2 linked regions of the Arabidopsis thaliana genome follow. The protein of the gene in region 2 interacts with the protein of the main gene of each other region in a pairwise test. Each region holds a gene or a part of one and is shown on either strand. Other genes may lie near its edges.

Region 1 (10,287 bases), on a different chromosome or scaffold from region 2:
CTACACTTGAATCCCAACATTCCTACCTTCCTCTTACATATCCCACATCTCCTTTTTTTGACCGGTTCTTCTTCAACGGCGGGACTATTCGTAGGAGGGCAACACTGTGATTGCTCGGTCTCGGGTTCGAATCTTAAAGCGGGCGAGTGTTGAAGAACACTCTTTTTGTAGCAGAGAGAGCATAGATTGTTGTTCACTCGGGTGCCGTAGAGTCCACAGCCTCCCTCGCATGGTAATGCTTCTGTTTCGTTCACCATCTTCTTTCTTCTACTTCTTGCGATAGTTGTTATATGAGAGTCAATATAATTCAATATTTTGTGTGAGCTCTATCAATGACTCTAAAATCTAAATATATAGAGGATGTCTATTGTTCTTAGTTCTTCTGGAATTGTGTAGTGCAATTAAGTTTCCCTTTTTTAATACAATTCGGTAAGTGTTTCCTCTTTTGTAATAGTCATCTACGTTCGATAAGTGTTTGCTAACGATTCTTATTGCAAGTTATTGATTTTCCTTTCCTCATATAACTAAGAAAGGAAAAGTTACAATAGAAACGCTGAGAGATATTTCATAATAAGGAAACTGAGAAGACGTGTTTAATCCTCTTCGAACAGTCATAAATCCAATAAAGAAAAACGTTGACTAATGTAAGAAAAAAAAGACAAACCAAATAAATAACTAATCCAACTTGATGATAATTTAGACAACAGCAGCTTCCTGGTAGTTTCTAAAACGTCGGTTCGTTTTCTAAATACAGAAAAGAGTTGCGTGCCGTTTTCACTATCTTAAGGAGTAATTAATTAGTTTCAAGTAAAATACCAAATTAGACAATTCCACATGGTGATCTTTGATGGCCTCCCCACCACCGCACGTGAATTTGGAATACCTTGTTTAGTTTCATTATCAAATTACACCTAAACGCGTTACTAATTAAATTATTTATTGTCTATCAAAAAGCCACGCAACAACAGTCTAGCATTTAAATCTTCACGTGGGTCTAACCCGGTTCCGGTTTCATTATCCGGGTATATGTTTTGGCTTCGTCTGAATTTGAATTTGAGTTTTCTCATTCAAAAAACGATAAATAAATAAAATATTGGTCAGTTATTCTTTCTATGGTTCTTGTTTGATATAGAAAGAATAACAGGTTTTGGATTTGTCTGTGTGTTTGGACTTTGGATTAGTATTCATTCGGTTTAACCAATCAAAATTCGCAACCTTAACACGTTATAAACCATGATGTAATGATTTAATCAATGATCAATTAAATGTATAGAAATTTATTTTCCATTTCCGCAACAGCTCAAAACGTTTTCTCTCTTTTCCGATTTTAGTCTAAAAACTGAAACAAACACAAAAAGCAACAATTTGTCTTTGAAAATCTCCTCTGTGTATGGTTCAGCTTCGGTTTACTAAATCTCTATGCCGTCACGATCAATCTCGGCACCGGTTCCGGTTCTTGCTCCGGCTCCGATCGTTTCCTCTTTAGTCCCAGCAGCGCCGTCAGGACATCAGAATAAGACAACGCGAATCTTTCCACCGTTCGTGGTGGCTGGAGCCGGCGCCGGTTTCTCTCTTTTCATCACTCTCTCCGTCTGTTTCTGTAAATTCAGCCGGAAACGTTCATCACCTCCGGCGGAAAACGCTTCCTCTTCGCCTCGGAGACCGTCGCCACGTGAGTTTTCATATTCGTCTCTCCGTCGCGCCACCGGTTCTTTCTCGCAGGCGAATAGACTAGGTCAGGGCGGATTTGGCGTCGTGTTTCGTGGAACTATCTCCGGCGGCGAGAATGTAGCTGTTAAAGTAATGGATTCAGGATCTCTTCAAGGAGAAGGTGAGTTTCAGAACGAGTTGTTCTTCGCCGCCAAGCTTGACTCGCCTCACGTTGTCCCTGTTATTGGTTTCTCTCATGATCGAAAACGACGACGTTTGCTTCTTGTTTACAAGCTTATGGACAATGGTAATCTCCAAGACGCCTTGCTTCACCGGAGATGCCCTGAGCTTATGGATTGGAATCGGAGGTTTTTGGTTGCCGTTAACATTGCCGATGGGATTAAGCATCTTCATAGTCTTGAACCACCTGTGATTCATGGTGATATTAAGCCTAGCAATGTTCTATTAGATAGTCTCTTCTCTGCCAAAATCGCTGATTTTGGTTTGGCTAGGTTGAAAGCAGAGCAAGTGGAGATTAGTGTAGCTCCGGAGCGTGATGGTGATGGATCTATGGTTGAAGAAGTAGAGAGTGTGGTAACTACTGTGACTGGTTATGAAGATTTTAACTTTGGGTTGGTTGATCAGTCTCCGGAGAGTGTTGCTAAGGTTCCTGGGTCTGTGAGTGCTTCTCCTGAGGCGACGACGGTTGTCTCTGTTTCTCCGGAAATGGGAGAGAAAACGGATGAGGATGGTGGTAGTGTTGTGGTGATGAAGAAGGGGAAAGAGAGTGAGAGCAAAGATTGGTGGTGGAAGCAGGAGAGCAATGTTGAAAGAGGGAGAGTGAAAGAGTATGTAATGCAATGGATTGGTTCAGAGGTAAAGAAGGAGAGACCAAGCAGAAGTGATTGGATTGAGGCGGCAGCTTTGTCTTCTTCGTCAAGTAAGAAACTTGAGAAGAAGACTAGCAAGAGACTAGATTGGTGGTTGTCATTGGAGGAAGAGGATGAGAATAAGAAGAAGAAGAAGCGGAGGATGGTTAGAGAGTGGTGGAAAGATGAGTATCGTAGAGAACTCGCTAAGAAAAGGAAGAAGAAGAAGAAGATGACTTTAGAAGCCGAGTTTTGTAGTGATGATGGGAGTAGTAGTGTGAGTCAATGGCGGCGTGGTAGTGGTAGTGGTAGCAGCATAGATTGGTGGTTAGATGGGTTAAGTGGTGAACGATGGTTGAGAGCAAGGGGAAATAGCCATGACTCGGTGAGCGGTGAGATAGCTAAGAGCTGCGGAATTAGTAGCACGCCGAGCATGAGAGGGACTGTGTGCTATGCAGCTCCTGAGTACTGTAACTTGGACAACAACGTGTCAGAGAAATGTGATGTCTATAGCTACGGTGTTCTGTTGTTAGTTCTGATTTCCGGGAGGCGCCCGTTGGAGATGACGGGCTCCGCGAGTGAGATACAACGGGCAAACCTCATGTCTTGGGCGAGGAAGTTGGCGAGAAGAGGAAAACTTGTTGATCTTGTGGATCAAAAGTTGCAAAACTTAGACCAAGAACAAGCAGTGTTGTGCATAAAGGTGGCTTTGTTGTGTCTGCAAAGATTACCGATTTCACGACCGTCAATGAAAGAGGTCTTGGGAATGCTTAAAGGAGAAGTGAATCTACCAGAGTTGCCTAGTGAGTTCTCACCATCGCCACCATTAAAGACAACGAGGAAGCAGCGCCGTTGACTAATTTAGGAATCATTTTGATTATTATTATTCAAGTGTTACACCGCTAGTTTTAGGAACTTTGATTCAATTTCACTATACTTTCCAATTTCTCTTTCTATAGTTTCACACGCATTATTGACATTGATTTTTTTTTTACACGTTTATACTTCGATGTCAATATGTCATACAACACTTCTTCAAATCGGAGTTGCTCGGGATTGGATTATTAGCAGAAAGAAAAGGCTAAAACTTTTTCCACCTCCAAAAGTCATTTAAAGGTCACACAAATCCTATGGGCCTAATCAGTTAACAAACCACTTCCAATCGAGTTAAATGAAATGAAGATACCAAATTGGGTCACGTTAGGAGTCAGCAGTTTGTGTTCTTTATATATGGACATGGGCCATCTTCGATTTTTCTTATTCGTTTCTACTTAAAATCACCAAGATTTATTGAATTTTTCTTCTTATTATTATTTGGCCCTTATATAGAGTATGGTCTATCCATAATTTGGCCCAGTTTTTTAAAAATACTAGATATTTGGAACATGCATGCTTTTTATTTTTAAATGTATCAGATTCAGATGAAACTCAATTATTAAAAAAAAAATCATACATAAACAGTTTAAAATATTTACTACTACTTAATTATTTTCGGATTAAGAAATCCCTTATAACATTTCATAAAACATAGTATTCTGCATTTTTTCAAAAAGTTGTTGTAATGTTTAGAAAACAAATTGAAAATGCAACAGTTTTTAATGAATAAATGCAAGGCGTTATAGAATGTTGGTTTGTTTTTCATTTTAAGTGTTTTTCAATATTTTAAATAATAACAACAACAAAAATCATTTGCTTTCGACTAGAAACAATGACTTATATCATTGCTTATACGAGTGCATGTTACAATCGTATGTGGCGGTTAGTCATCCTACTTGGCTCGATCGATGGTGTATTTGCTGAGGAAAGGGCTTTGTGTTCTGATTAAATTTGAGTTTTGATGGTAGTATGGCTTGAGTAAAGGTTGAGGATGTTGTTTCATTTTCATATGTCTGGCTCTTTCACCTCTTTGGTGGGTATGTGTTGTATCAAACAATCGTCTCTTAATACAATACCAGTTGACAAAAAAAGAGCAGTAACTAATTCTTATAAACTATAGTACATTATTTCCTATATATTTTATAACATAAAATAAATCATATTTTCTCATAATTTAAAGTGCTATTCAATGATTTTTAGGAATACGATCCAGCATATGGCCTTGCAGTCTATAGTATATATAAAAATAATTATATGGTACCTATGTCAGAGATATCTAGGATATATAGTAGATCGTCGTACAATTGATATATCATATAGTATGTGTATACAATAAGAAAATAAACATATAAATTGTACGATCTCTAAAGAATACTTTAAAAATGATAAATATTAAGATATGGAATGTTGAAGGGAACCTATTAAAAAGAGAAGAAATTAATGATGAAGCAGAAAGACGTCATTGCTTACCCTAACAAACCTCTCTCTCCATCTTTTTCCGATACGTCTACCAATAACTTAGTATTTTTTTCTCTTAGTTTTTAATATTATAACCAAACCCTTTTACTATCTTTTTTCCGACTCCCATATCTTTTTTTTTTCCGACTCCCATATTATTCAACTTTACAACAAATCCCTGACTAGAGCAAATCCCAGAGCACAAGATCAGATCCTTCTGTCTCATCATCATCATCATTATTATAATCATAATTACAAGAAGAATCGTTGTTCAAAATAATTAACGTATAACGACTTCTAGATGAATAATTTTCAGGAGAAGAAAAGAAGGCGTAGTAAAACGCCGAGAGTTTGTAATAACGAAGAAAACATGGAGAAGTTAGTACATAAAGAAATTGAGAAACGAAGGAGACAAGAAATGGCTTCTCTCTACGCGTCTCTCCGCTCTCTTCTCCCTTTAGAGTTCATCCAGGTCAAAACCCTAATTACTCTTGCTTTTAATTTCTTCCTCTTCTTCTTCTTTTTTTTTTGTTAAGGAAAAAGTCCACAAGTATGCTTTGTCGCTTAGTTTGTTAAAAAGATTCACTAGAACTCTAACACTCTATCATCACAATATCTCAAGTTGACCTCTACACCTTAATTACGTTTGATTTGGTTTTGTAGGGAAAACGTTCAACGTCAGATCAGGTGAAAGGGGCAGTGAATTACATAGACTATTTGCAAAGGAATATCAAAGACATAAATTCCAAGAGAGATGACCTCGTGTTATTGTCTGGACGAAGCTTTAGGAGTAGTAATGAACAAGAATGGAATGAGATTTCGAATCATGTCGTGATTCGTCCGTGTTTGGTCGGCATAGAGATAGTGTTGAGCATTCTCCAAACGCCATTCTCAAGCGTTCTGCAAGTGCTTCGTGAACACGGTCTCTATGTTCTTGGCTACATCTGTTCCAGTGTAAATGATAGACTCATTCATACTCTACAGGCTGAGGTACAATATCTCGAGCTTACTAACTTTACAGCAATCGAAGCATTACTAACTTTACTAAGAATATAGAGAAATACTTAATCATAACATATATTTCTAACTAACTTTACTAAGAATATAGAGAAATACTTAATCATAACATATATTTCTAACTTTGTTAATGTTTTCGATCTTGTCGGCTTACAAACGCGTTTATGTCCTAATTTGGAATGGAATATAGAATATAGCATACATCTTCTTCATAGCTTTTTGGAATGGCTTATTGTATCAGAGTAATGAATATATATGTTTGAGTTAATATGTGAAGTTGATTTGCCTTATGTTGAGTTAATATGTGAAGTTGATTTGCCTTATGTTGCAGGTCAACGATCTGGCTTTGATCGACTTAGCAGACCTTAAGGATACACTTACCCTGATGAAGTAATTCAAATAATCAAACGTTTTTTTTCAGTAGATTCCTTTTAACTTCTCAAACCAAAACGATGTATATATATGGTTCTTAGTACTTTTACTGTGTATTTATCTAGCTACTTTAAAGAATTTGTGCGTAAGAAACTAATGCTAGCTAGCTTTAATATCACAACCATCTCTTACATATTATATAAACTATGGTCCATCTAAACTTTTTCTTTATCATTGATGTTTTGACTATCTTGTTTATTCACAGAAAAAAATCTTCATTTTGAAAATTTGATTAAATATCTTATGAAAACAAATTATCTTTCAAGAAAATATATTAGTTTACTCTATCTTTTGTTCATTAGGGACAATGACTATTATTTTGAGGATTACCGCATGAGGCCTTCTTATTTCTAGACGTCTCTGCTCCTATATATAAGTCATATAACATTCTTATCTGAAGATGTACGTAATCTGTCGAGTTAGGATATAATTAAGAGAATGGTGGAATTTAATTCGTACACATAGAATTAATGGTATAATTAATTTACTATTGTTGGTGTGAGTAGCATCAAATAGATGATAGAATAGTATTTTGAACAAAAATTCTGATAGATAGTATAAGCCTTCAAACTAAAATTGTTTCCGGACGAATACACGAAAAGAAAAATGAAATAATATTAACTTTCTAAAAACTCATCGATTGATGGGTATACACAAAATGGTTAAAAAGAAAAAAAAATGATTAACAGATTTTGAGATTATATAATACTGAAAATTTGAGTCGGAAATTGATTTGCAATATGCAAAAGACAAGAAACATGAGGCAAAGGAAAAACCATTTTTCAGAGAAATCTAAACATGTGAAATTCGTTTTTCTAAAAGTAACAATTTGCGAATTTATCAGCGACGGATATTTTTTAAAAATAATATGTAATGTTTCTGTTAGAAAGTACTTTTGGTTGACAAAAAGAACTGTTACAAACTTACTTTGTTGTGTACGCACTGTTACAAAATTATCAAATTTGAATCTTGAAAATGGTTAATTAGGGTTGTGTGATACGCACTCCAGATCTGTAATCACAAATTAGCTAATGACTATAAAGTCGATGCAAAAAGTAAAACATAGGGAATGTATATTATATGCCGCTTAGTTGAAAACCGCTACATATCTATGATCGATTTAAATATTTGAACTCTGGAACTGTTGACTTTTCTCTTAGACTTAAATTTTGGTAAACAATTTCAGCAACTAAAATGAGTGAGAAAACTTGGTTGTTGAAAAAAAAAGAGAGAGTGAGAAAACTTTGGTTTAGTTTTCTACAGTGACCAGCTTTGGGGTTTTGGGCGGAATTAATTAGCCAAGTAGGGTCTAGAAAATGTGATCTTTTAACACATGGCCAAAGTCGTTTATATTTGGTGATTCTGTTTAAAACTCACAATTTGTTTTTTTCTTTTCTTAAATTTTGAAATCATATCTATTTAGAACTAAAGTTCATCATAAATTTTGATGACCCTAATAAATAATATAGCGTCAATATAGAGAACTTAGCTGGAGATATATTGTAAATATGTTGTTGTAACGATCTATTACGAATAACTATTGAAATACAATACAATTATTTAAAAGAGCAATATATAATTGTATAATTTACCACATCATTAGGATACTTCGCCCCAAACACATATTTTAATTCGTTTGAACGAACTTAAATAAAAAAAATAAAAAAAATCATTGGTTAAAACTTTTTATTGCAGAAATAATTGGTTGTTACTGTAGAAATAGCGGCTTCTATTCGCAACCGTCAGATATACAAGTCTAAAGAGATGTCTTTAGTTTAGTCGTGACTCCTACAAGGCATGTGTGTACGATCGCCTGATAGGGAATAATTTAACTTTGCATAATCCATATTTTCCGACAATCATCGAGTTGACATGATTCGACATTTGGTCATACACGTAAATATAACAACGTGCTTCTAATTTTAATTTTATAAGATTAAAACTATCAGATAGTACTTTTTGGGATATAGGAAAAATGCATCTCATGTAATAAAACTATAGCAGAAACGTGTCTTAAAAATAATTTACATAATAAATAGTTAACTTGTTTTATCATGACTATAATATGCAAACATTATTGCGGTTGTACGCATGTAATAATATTACTGTATATAAACTGTTATATACCAGCTCTTATAACTTTAAAACTCTATCCATTTTCTTAACGTAATGTATAGTATAAGTGAATGAAATTTTTCTCTTTTTACAAATTTATCTGGTTTATAAAAGTTGCTAATATCAGGCATAATATGGCTTATGGCGTATATTGAGCATATCAGCATACAACACACATCCCTAAAGAAAAGACTTTGGTCAAACATCCAACGAGATTATCTTTTATAGTATAGTGGCTCTTAATATGCGTATATACATATATATAAAAAACAAGGGATTCGTGACAGAGAAGAAGGATTTGCTTTGCCTTGAAAGGATAACCTTTACCAAAAGGATTATTTTTTAATAATGGAAACTGTGGAGGGATGTCATGGTTTTTATATTCAAAGCATATTATATTGAAATAGTATCTTCTTAAGAACAGTATATCTTTAGCATTATATATCTGATACGCAATGGATATGGACGTTTAATAAACATGTGAAAAGACTAGTTGCAGTGTGAGCAGGTGCAAATAAAAAGAAAGGATCGGAGCCCACATGCGACCATCGCAACATCATCAACGGTTGAGATTTGAGGTTTTGTTTTCATGTATCCGAATCTTAAGACATGGTTGCACTTTCACGTCGACATTTGTCAAATAGTTATATTCTCCAGTTCCTCCTAGTTGTATGAGAATATAATTTTGTTTTAGAGAAAATGTGCATTATGGTTTTTTTTTTTTTCCAACAGTTTGCGTTTTAGATACTAATTCTGTATTTCATGGAAAGAGATGGATTCGCAATGGTATTTCACATAAAGGAAATTTTGTGTTGGATGATGGTATGACAAAAGCTGTTTGGAGGGTATAAATTATTAAGTTGACATTAATTTCAAAAATTTATAATTATGTGTTTTAATTCTCTTAATTAAATAAACTGTAGAGGATTTTATTTTGTTATGTATATATATTGACTATAAGTTGTATTCTACTAGTTTGTTACAAATCAAGCCCGAGGCTCATCCCATAAATGAAATAAAAAAAAACTGATAACTATTTCAATTTTATTTAAAAAAAAAAAAAGAGTAATTCCGTAACCTGCATTATTTGGTCCTCCTACTGTGTATCTATTTAATATTTAAATAATGGTCCTCCCTCTCACCTAAGGAGACATAGAGAACCATCTGGTTCTTTAAGGCACCATCATTCAACAAGTAAACAATAAAGGAAATTAAATTATCACAAGACAGAACCACAAAATCCTTTGGAGATCTGACACTGGTAAAGCTCAAAGTGTCAAACTATGGATCCTTATAAGAATCTTAATCCAAAAGGTTACCAGAGACAGAGACCGTTTAGCTCAGCCGGCGAGAGTGGCGGCAGCGGCGGCTCCGGTACGGCCCATGAAACAGATGACAATAAGAAGAAGAAGAAGCTTCTCCACCGCGACATCGAACGCCAAAGAAGACAAGAAATGGCTACACTCTTTGCTACTCTTCGTACTCACTTACCTCTTAAATACATCAAGGTTCATATTCTTAATTACTCACTCTTTTCTCTCAAATTTATTTACTTTTTCGTTATATCAATTGTTCGAAGAAACCAAGATTTGGTGAGATTTGGCTGCTAGGGTTGTGAATATGTCGTTTTTTGTATTTAATTTAGTTTTGTATTTAATCTTTATTTATAGGGAAAAAGAGCTGTGTCGGATCATGTAAATGGAGCGGTAAATTTCATTAAGGACACGGAAGCACGGATTAAAGAACTTAGTGCAAGAAGAGACGAGTTAAGTAGAGAAACCGGCCAAGGATATAAATCGAATCCGGATCCAGGAAAAACTGGATCCGATGTAGGCAAATCGGAGCCGGCGACTGTGATGGTGCAACCACA
Region 2 (11,026 bases):
GTACTCTACATGTACAATTGTACCTCATAGATATAATAATATATACATTACAATTTATATATATAAGTGTGTGTGTGTGTGTGTATATCCACGAAGACAAACTTTTATATAAGGTCTATATAAATTGAAACATACATTACATGTAAATGTGTAGATATACATCTCTTTAGGGTTTAAAGTGAGCAACTAGGAGTCGCAACTAGCAGGCAAAAAGAAAGTAAATCTTATCTTTAGAAACTAAATCATCAGAAAAAACTAAAATAGTTATAAGGAAAAAAAATACGTAAGAGATCGACATATAGTTTGCTTAAATAATGTTTTTTTTAAAAAAAACTAGGCTATTTTTGTCACTTACAAAATAGCAAGCCAATTGGTTTAAAATAAATTTATTTGACTTCATAAATGTTGGGTTGTGCGTATACCGTGTCGGCAGAAGGCAGCGCATTAATCCCACAAAATATATTTAGTTCAAACCTATAACGGCGGATATTATATACTTATGTATAGATTAATATGAAGTAATATCATACAAGTGGAAACATATAAATATATAACAAAAAGAACAGGGCAACTATCGATGAATTTGCTAAATGATCCTAAGTACTTTACAAAACAAAATTGATCTTAAGCAAACAGACCTCTTATTTTTGCATGGTTTGACCAAAATGATTTTTTCATTTAAACATAATTGTTGTTATTTTACTAATTAGTAACGTGCAAATTTACATTTGACCGTGTAAACAGTATCATCAAATAAATAAGAATATACAAATTTTATATTATTGTTGAATAAAATAGTGTGGTTTCAGGTAAATAACGTTTTATCGAGATAAAAAACATGTTATTTACTTCAAAATTATTTGAATAATTGTTATTGTAAAGAAATAGATGTCCAAATCCAATATCACTCTCACCGCCCTAGTTAAGGGTGTTTTCCCTACTAATAGATATTCATAGTTATTTGGTTATTTGAGATTTCAGTAGATATAAGTCAGAAGCTGGCAATTTCTTATGAGATATTCTATTATTTAAGCATGACATGATGATGTGAATAAAGAAAATATATGCTACGTTGTTCTTTCAATTTATTATTTCAACTAAATTATGTTTTCATGGTATGCAGTTATACTCTATGTTTCAGTTTGACATATGATATTTATCTGAGCTACTAATAACATTTCCTGCACTTTTTAATCTGTATTTGCAAAATGGTTTCAACACGATTTCACTCAAAACAAAAACAAGTGTCACTAAAAGTCTTAACCAATGGCGAGTTGGCATAAACATCCAAAGCCATTCAGGTCGGATCAGGAGCCGTCGTGGATCGCACCAATGGTTACGATTCTCTGGATAGTGTTGTTCCTTTACTGGTCAACAAAAGCAGTCTCCTTTTTTTATTTTCACATGTGTTTTTTTTAATAATATTTTTAAATTTTAATTGCTCACCAGTCACCACTATTCTATAAATATCAATATTAGTAGTAGTTTAATACCTACTATTTTATTTCAGGACAGCCTAAAATAGTTAAAATTAAAGTTCTACGTATTGTCTTCCTCATTTTAAAGGGTCATCTTGTCCTATCTGGCTTTTTATATATATAATTCTTCTTAATACTTACTCTAACAAAAAATATAAAAATAGCTAAACCTTAGTCTATAAATTTAATTATCATATGGTAAAATTTTCTCATCAATCTGACGTTGTTTACACCTTTATGAGGCGTCTATGCAAATGGTTAATTTAGTTCGATAATATATTTTTTCATTATAATGCAATATCAGATACTCAAATTTAATTACGTGATTTTGGTCGTGCTATATATATTTACCAGTGAAAATCAAAATTTCATTACTCAAACTTATTAAGATCTAGAGGGGTTGGAAGTCAGAAAAGCAGATATTATAACATTTAATAACACATTTTCATTCAAGTAAAAAAAAAATTAGTAACAAACCATGGAACCCTAAATGTGGAAATTATTGAAAATTAGTTTTGGTTTTGTTTAGTTAGTGGAAACTGGAGATTGATTAATATAATGGGGTTGTTTACTCATGATTTACTTTGCACAAACGAAAATTTTCGTTCCCCTTAGTCCTTACCTACTGTCTGTTTTGAAATTTCCGCATTTGACAAAAGTTATATGTGATTGAGTTTCATTAGAATAACTCAATAGATACTTTTATATATGAAAATATACTTTTATACTTAATTATGTTAATAATGACTATCTCTCTAACTGGAAAATGGAAACTATACAGGATTAATATGTTAGCAAGAGGAACATACATTCATTATATTAAGCATGATACTTTATGAACAACTAACTTTTTTTTGTTGATCACATGGAACAACTAACTTTATCTAAACAATATTATACAATATTATATATATATAGGTCAATTATATCATAAAAGTTGGCCAAAAGATGGCTTTAGTATGCGCCTAAACCCATCATACTGTATTATGAAAAAACTGTTCCGGCAACTAGTATTTTTTTTGTTGCAAAAGACATTTCGCCAACAGTTCGTCATTTTAATTGATATAAATGGTTGAAATTTGTTCAAGAGGAGAAAAAAAAAGGAGGTCAATTGACTTAATTAGTACCATAAAAATCTGCAAAAATGATCAATTAATTGCAAATAAAATTGCAATTGATTTTTTTTGTAAAACTTCCCCATAATTAATTAATCCGTCAAAACACATCACAACATCACAGTTAGAATTATAAAATGGCATAGTATAAGGAGCTGATTTGATCGGGAATTAAAACTATAAATACATCAATTAGGTCTGCAATAATGATTTTTAAAAATTAGGTTTCCAGTGAGTTGGTTATATACTTATATAAATAGCATGCTTAATATCACGTTTTTTATTTATAATTAAGAAAATGTGGGGAGCCACACACTAAATGATTTAATACAACTTAATTAGTTTTGGTAAGGTGGCCTAAGTTAGGCCATGTTATTAAATTACTACTCCACTGGATTTGAGTTGATTTGTTTGGCCAACCTGATTATCCCCAATACAAAAATACTCTCATGTTATTATAGACTGATATATCTGTGAGTAATGTATATATTATTCTCTTGATTATACCAAAATGGAAGATAAGAATCTAAAATGAACGACTGAGATGGAACTGTAATATTACTAAAAATAGGATGAAGTTTGGGTCCAGATAGAAGAAATTATGAGGAGGATGGTGCTGAGTGCTGACCTTTTCGTCCTTGGAAACATATCTCACTCGTTGTCTTCCCACTTGCAATATTGCATGGCCCAATTCTTCAATGAAACGACACCGTTTCCAGTTACACCAAACCCTTCTCAACTAATTTATGTTATGTGGCAATCTTGCATGTTAATTACATGTATTCAACACATGAGTCTATCTATCTTCCGATTAATTTTCCACCAAAAGTGATATAACTTTTGATAATAATTGAGACGGACCAACATTGTATTTTTAGGCAAACGCAAATTACTGTTTAATCGAAATTTTAGATAAAGTAAGGTAAGATCAGACCAAAAAAACAAAGAGCCTACTATTATAAAGTTTCGACATAAGAAGGTCAATGATGTGGATGATATAACCAATTGCAAGTTAATGAGACGTGATACATAAATTTCCTTAAATCTAAACTTGTATCCGGTGGTACTAGATTTAAAATATCCTTATAAAGTTCGTTGATATATACATACACACCAAACTCATTTTAGCTTGTTGTTGTTTGATAAAGATCCAAGATAATATGAAATCACTTTTTAAAAATTAATCTATTTAATGTCACACATCAACTATTTTATCTTTCCATTTCAGAATTTTGATTTTTTTCGGTAGAATATAATGGAGCTCTGATGAGTATGTGACCCACTAATCAAATGGTTCATTGACTAGCTCGGTTTTAAGCTTTAAGTCCTTGAGATCATTATCTTCAACAGAAGACTTATAAATACTATTTTATTTGAGGAAATGATAGGGTTATTCAACAAGTATATATATGCTCATCTTTTAAAAAGGGGATAAGTATTACTTTTGTTTCAAACAAAATGGATAAACATCTGAGGGAAGAAGGTAGGACCAATATAAAAGTGGAAAAATTAGGTACTCTGCTCCGTACAAGAATATGGCTCATGGGCAAAATACATTGGGTTTATGATTCATCTCCCCCCTTCACATATGTACAATGTATTATATCATGTTGTTCTTCTTGTCCCCATTCTTGATATCTTAAATATTTAAGTCCAATTCATATAATTGAGCAATAATTATGTTTGAACTCATTAGTTATTGCTTATGAAAACTGATCAAAACAACAAAAAGTTGACGTTTTAAGTTTTGCATTCAAACTAGGGCAACTGTGTTAGTTTTATCTTCGACGACGTGGATATAAGTTTTTTAAAATTATGTAGGTATAATAAATTAAATAGAAAGAAAAAAACTATATAATGAAACAAAAGAGAAACAGAGGAGAGTTTGATGGTTTAGGACGAATCTGGTTTATTTAGTTCAGCCAATAAAAGCATAGTTCCAATGCAAGTGGGAACATCAACTAAGTCTCACTACTTTTTAAAATAGTCGAATAAATCTGCATGCAGTACTTTGTTATGCGTATATAATATCAAATAGTAGTACAATTTGATAAAAATGTTATATGTTTAATTTGGTGGATCATAGAAGGATTAATTTTTATGATCAAATAACGAAGCCACGAAGAACTAAATCTGACCGTTTGATGCTTATTCGAGAACTATAACAATATTAGGACGTCATTCATGTATCTTTATTAAAAATATGTGATCTTAAACAAAGCTTCGTGCATAGATAAGAAGGGACTAGTCACTCTAATAAGATCAATAAGATATGTTGTTTCTCTTTGTAAACCGAAAATAGTGGGCAATTAGATCACGAGTCTTGGCTTTGCTGGCGTATTCCAACGTTGTCTTATCATTATCTCAAAATATTATTATAGGTCGTCTCATTTCATACCCGTCAAAATAATAGTTGTTCTTATATGTTTCGAACAAGTCACTTTAGGAATTAGGATGGAAAACATATCCTATTTGAGTGGTATTGGTTAATTTGAGAAATTGAGCGTAAAGGAAGACAATGCGTAAGAAAGGCAACAATACGTACTATGATTCTACGTACAAAGAAAGTGCTTAGGGGATAAAAACCAAACTAGGTAAGGACTTGTAGGAAACATAAGAGAACCTAATGATCAAGACCTCCCCAACTAAAGCAAAATATGTAAAGAGACACGTCATGTTCCAAATATGGAAGGACGAATATAGTTTCAAGAAAAGCCTCATGATCAAAGGGGGGATGCACTATTTAATTAGAGAATCACAACAAAACAAAACAAAAGGTCCAAATCTCATGTGAACCCCCTTCCCACTTGGCCCTCTATTCTATCCCCATTTGTGCTATTACACATCGCCCATTACTCATTTTTCTATCTCTCAACGAGTCAACTCTATTCAATAATTTTACATATCTTTCTACTACTATTCTTGTATGGACCATTCGATTTTTGGAAACTTCTTTTCTCTTAAAAAAACATCAATAATATCGGGCGAAATGTCAAATGTGGTTTTTCTTAGCCCTATTTACCATTCTTAACCACATCAAGAATCTCATTGCTAGTGTTGTAATTATTCTTTGTCCTTTAGTGAAAACATTAAGAAAAATTCATCTATTGATGTTCACGTTCTCTGTAAATTTTTTATAGACGCATGTTACACGTAATATATTATTAGTTTATTACCATATGAAGGGACTAATTATGGCAACAACAAGATTATAAAAAAAGGACTAATCAAAAGGTACCAAAATTAGTACGAATGTAATAAATAAAATAAAACTTTATGACACTAGCACACATATTTTTGGACTCTTCCCACGAAACTTCCTCTACAAAACACATTTTGCCATTTGTTGCAAGACTTGACCCTACTCCTCTGCACCTCTTCTCCTTTCTCTTTTATTTTATTTTCACCTTTCTTTCATAAATACACATACATTACCCACATTTTACATTTATCTCTTATTATCCTATTCAATTTTGACAAAACAAAACAAATAATATCAACAACGTACATGCACTTCCTTGTGTATATATATAAACTCCAAACCCCATCTCTTCATAAAGCAACAAAAACTTAACCCATTTCTTCTTCTTTTTTTGTTTCTCTCTCACAAACACAACAAATATGGAATACAGCTGTGTAGACGACAGTAGTACAACGTCAGAATCTCTCTCCATCTCTACTACTCCAAAGCCGACAACGACGACGGAGAAGAAACTCTCTTCTCCGCCGGCGACGTCGATGCGTCTCTACAGAATGGGAAGCGGCGGAAGCAGCGTCGTTTTGGATTCAGAGAACGGCGTCGAGACCGAGTCACGTAAGCTTCCTTCGTCGAAATATAAAGGCGTTGTGCCTCAGCCTAACGGAAGATGGGGAGCTCAGATTTACGAGAAGCATCAGCGAGTTTGGCTCGGTACTTTCAACGAGGAAGAAGAAGCTGCGTCTTCTTACGACATCGCCGTGAGGAGATTCCGCGGCCGCGACGCCGTCACTAACTTCAAATCTCAAGTTGATGGAAACGACGCCGAATCGGCTTTTCTTGACGCTCATTCTAAAGCTGAGATCGTGGATATGTTGAGGAAACACACTTACGCCGATGAGTTTGAGCAGAGTAGACGGAAGTTTGTTAACGGCGACGGAAAACGCTCTGGGTTGGAGACGGCGACGTACGGAAACGACGCTGTTTTGAGAGCGCGTGAGGTTTTGTTCGAGAAGACTGTTACGCCGAGCGACGTCGGGAAGCTGAACCGTTTAGTGATACCGAAACAACACGCGGAGAAGCATTTTCCGTTACCGGCGATGACGACGGCGATGGGGATGAATCCGTCTCCGACGAAAGGCGTTTTGATTAACTTGGAAGATAGAACAGGGAAAGTGTGGCGGTTCCGTTACAGTTACTGGAACAGCAGTCAAAGTTACGTGTTGACCAAGGGCTGGAGCCGGTTCGTTAAAGAGAAGAATCTTCGAGCCGGTGATGTGGTTTGTTTCGAGAGATCAACCGGACCAGACCGGCAATTGTATATCCACTGGAAAGTCCGGTCTAGTCCGGTTCAGACTGTGGTTAGGCTATTCGGAGTCAACATTTTCAATGTGAGTAACGAGAAACCAAACGACGTCGCAGTAGAGTGTGTTGGCAAGAAGAGATCTCGGGAAGATGATTTGTTTTCGTTAGGGTGTTCCAAGAAGCAGGCGATTATCAACATCTTGTGACAAATTCTTTTTTTTTGGTTTTTTTTCTTCAATTTGTTTCTCCTTTTTCAATATTTTGTATTGAAATGACAAGTTGTAAATTAGGACAAGACAAGAAAAAATGACAACTAGACAAAATAGTTTTTGTTTACATCTAATTTAGGATCTGTTTTTTCACCCTTTCCTGAAATATGATATGTGTTCTCCTCCTTAATCTAATAATCTTGTTTAATCTTTGGTTTATAGCCAACTTTATAGCATATTTTTCCAATTGAAATAGAGTTGTTATGAGTATATAATCCCACACTAATATTTATGCATTTACTTTCATATATACATAATATACATTATTGGAGAAAAATATCTTATACGATCTATAAGAATAGTATAATTAAATGTCAACATGTCCAATTAAAACATGGGTGCGATTCGAAAATCTATTTATGTGGTTGAGATGCTTAAGCGGAGAACAACGTCGATCGTTCAAAGATTTTGTACGTTTCTTAAACTAAGTTTAAAAACTGTTTTTTCGTGTACGATTTTGGGGAAAAACACTGACCAAAATAATTAAGAACATGCACGGAATCTAGATTACGATTTTAGAACCATTGTTATGTTTAATAGAAATACATCTCGAAGTTGATAATTATTTTTCTTATGCCTTAAGATTCATGCATCTTATTTATTTCACGAAGTATAGTTGTGTTTAAAAAGAATCAATTAGATCTTAAAGGCTACACATGATGTATGTGGACACTCGCATATAAGTTCATATATTGTTTTTATCATGACAATAACCACAACTTTTTGTTTCTCAATCATTTAATTACTTACGAGACATGCATTGGCAAGATATTTATATTCACTGGAGTAATGTTGAAATTTAGTAAATAAAATGTACATAAATGTATTTTCAGAATAACAAAAAGAAAACAAAATCAAAAGATCATTTGTTTATGAATTTATTATCGTCAACATATATTTAGTACTAGTTACTAAAACTAAACATAATTTTGATAAAAATTAATCCTTATAACAAAAAACGTAAATAGCTAATGATTTTTCTGATTAAACATGAAAACATGGTTAAATGTTCTAAAACTAGTGTAATCCCTTACATTTAGTTGTTGAATATTGCTCTCAATTCTCATGACTTGGAGCCCATGATGTACAAAAAGCCCATGCTCATTTAAAAGCCGAACGTTTGTTGATTTTCTAATGTTAGCGAACTTGAAACCTAAAACTTGTGGGTTATGGTACCACTTGAGATGACACATATAATATAAGCCCAACTCATGTTAGTTAAATTGTGACTCATTTAGACGTCTTTTCTTGGGCCAAATTTTACAATAAACATCAAAATAAGATTTGTAGAAACATTCTGAATTTCTGAGAGTGACAAAATAAAAAAAAAATACTTGGCCTTATGGAATCTGAAAGAAGCAAAAGCCTTCAAATATTTCGAGATATGTGTTCATCGCTCGAACAGTACAAGTATTTTATTTTCTTGTATACTTTTGATTGAACCATTAGGCAGTAGATGTGCATTAAATTTTCAACGTAATTTTGACTATAAATGTACGCAGTAGCTCCACTTCAACAGAAACTAAGTAAGACGTACATGTTTGTCCGTCATGCATATAACTAGTTCTCGTTAGTATTTACATTAGCTTTTGTATTAGCAAACTTTGCATGATGAGATATTGTAATTTAGGTGGTTGATGGCGTTGGAATGATTTCTCATTGGAACGTTTTTCAACTTTCTTCACTTGACATTTATTTTCTACTATATATATATATATAACTTTTTTTTGAGTTCGCAACATCTCAAAATTAATTTGCTTTTAATAAGAGAAATATAAACTGGTATAAAGAACGATGTAACAAATGAAATGAGTATTAAAAATTTCTTCTTTTTACAAGAATCAATTTTTATGTTTTAGTTTCTCAATATATAGTCCATATTTTTGGTCACACTAACATGAATTTTTTCAATTAATAAATTAGAGTGTCAAAAAACTTCACCGAATTCTTACACAATTTGTTTTTTTAGCAAAATGCATGCTATCGGTAAAAAAAATCGGTGAAGTTTTTTTTTGCTATTTTTGCCATTTTTCAATAGTAACTTTTCCATTTGACGTTAACCTGACTAAATAATTTTAGATAAGTTAATTCTAAATCAAAGGAACCGAATCCATCATAATTGACCTAGACTATGACAGACATCGTATAACTAATTAAATAGACTAGAATCCCAAGCTAATGAATAATGATATGCCACATCTCAGCAAAGTCTAAGAGCAAAAGATGAATGCATTAACGTAATTTAGAATCCATTGACTCGCCCTAGTGACTAGTATTTTTATTTTATTTTATTTTGGGACAAAATCCCTAGTGACTAGTATAAGATACGAATACACACCAAAAAAAAGTATAAGATACGAATAAACAAAGTTTATGCTATTATTTTTGTCGCAATTTGCTTGGTTTACTAAGGGAAAGGCTGACAATCTTGTCTACATTTTGGAAGAAAAGATTCAAATTTAAACCAAAAAATATCTAATATCAAAACATATCTTCTTCATAAATAAATAGGTGATGGTTAGCTGTATTTGAGGTAAAGGGAGGGCCACTTGGCCTTTAGGAGAAGGTAAGGGTCAGCAGCTTTGTTAATCCAACCTCTTTTTAGAGAGGTGTTTAACGCAATTTCAAGATATTTGAATCCGATGATATTTATCTCCTGATTACATGGATCACTGTCTTTGTATTTCAAGATATCCGTTTGAAAATAGTAGGCGTTACATGTATTCGTTTATAAAAAGTAAGAAGTATTTTCTGAAATTGTAATTTATTGAAAAAATCACAGTACGTTACTACGTTTCATAGAATACCCATGAACATTTTTGATATAGTAATGTAGTATATGTTCAACAAGTCATTAACATTGGTGATGACTTGTATTATTGATATATATGGTGGGGTAATGAATAATATAATGAAATAATGGTGAGCTGAACAAAAATATTGTGAAATTATCATGAAAATGAAAAACGTTCGATTCGTTTACAAGAATGATACCAAAATGAAAAACGTTCGATTCGTTTTACAAGAATGATACCAATAACTTTTTTTGTCACAAGAAGATATTAAGATAACTTCAAAGAGCAGAGAATATCGAAACTTTTTTTAAAAAGGCAGAGAATATACTTTGGACAGCACTGATATCATTTTTTTCAAAAGAAAATGTATTTGGTAAGGAATCATTTTTCTTGTGATTCTTTAATCAGTTGCATGAAAAATGCCAAAACAAATATATGCTTCTTCTTTTTTGAAATTCAGAATATTCGGCCACGGGGACCACACACCTCAAAACGAAAACAAACGAGAAATGGAATTTTAGACAAATTCTAGTACACGATACGACCCATATTATTTGTATACTATTCATTGATTGATTAATTTGAGCATTAAGAATCTGGGTTGGTCGTTATTAATTGTTTAATTAATCACCGGCTTGGAAAAAATGATTATCCTTTCTCTCTCAAATGGGTCGTTGGTCCTCCATTCCTTCATGAACACGTTGCCACATGGAAACGTTATGAAAGCGCGTTACTACTTACCACAATGGACCAGAAAATTCTTAAAGTTACGTCTTTGTATTAAATTGCACAATTCCATTTATATAATTCACCAAATCAGATGTTGAATTTTCTTTCCCACATATGAAGATCATTTTCTGATATGTAG

What was found.
Region 1: the proteins of TEM1 (region 2) and AT4G25400 interact in a two-hybrid assay, tested with the Arabidopsis thaliana proteins (one large-scale study listed by BioGRID).

The regions. Positions count from the first base shown.
Region 1 is NC_003075.7:12,976,072-12,986,358, forward strand, and holds AT4G25400 (basic helix-loop-helix (bHLH) DNA-binding superfamily protein), read left to right. Parts: upstream 1-4,965; 5' UTR 4,966-5,154; coding exon 5,155-5,325; intron 5,326-5,516; coding exon 5,517-5,909; 3' UTR 5,910-6,165; downstream 6,166-10,287. Other genes in the region: SAP10 (stress-associated protein 10), read right to left, coding at 1-257; AT4G25390 (Protein kinase superfamily protein), read left to right, coding at 1,420-3,375; AT4G25410 (basic helix-loop-helix (bHLH) DNA-binding superfamily protein), read left to right, coding at 9,701-9,925, 10,088-10,287.
Region 2 is NC_003070.9:8,978,165-8,989,190, reverse strand, and holds TEM1 (AP2/B3 transcription factor family protein), read left to right. Parts: upstream 1-5,876; 5' UTR 5,877-6,214; coding exon 6,215-7,300; 3' UTR 7,301-7,635; downstream 7,636-11,026. UniProt on the Arabidopsis thaliana protein: Transcriptional repressor of flowering time on long day plants. Acts directly on FT expression by binding 5'-CAACA-3' and 5'-CACCTG-3 sequences. Functionally redundant with TEM2.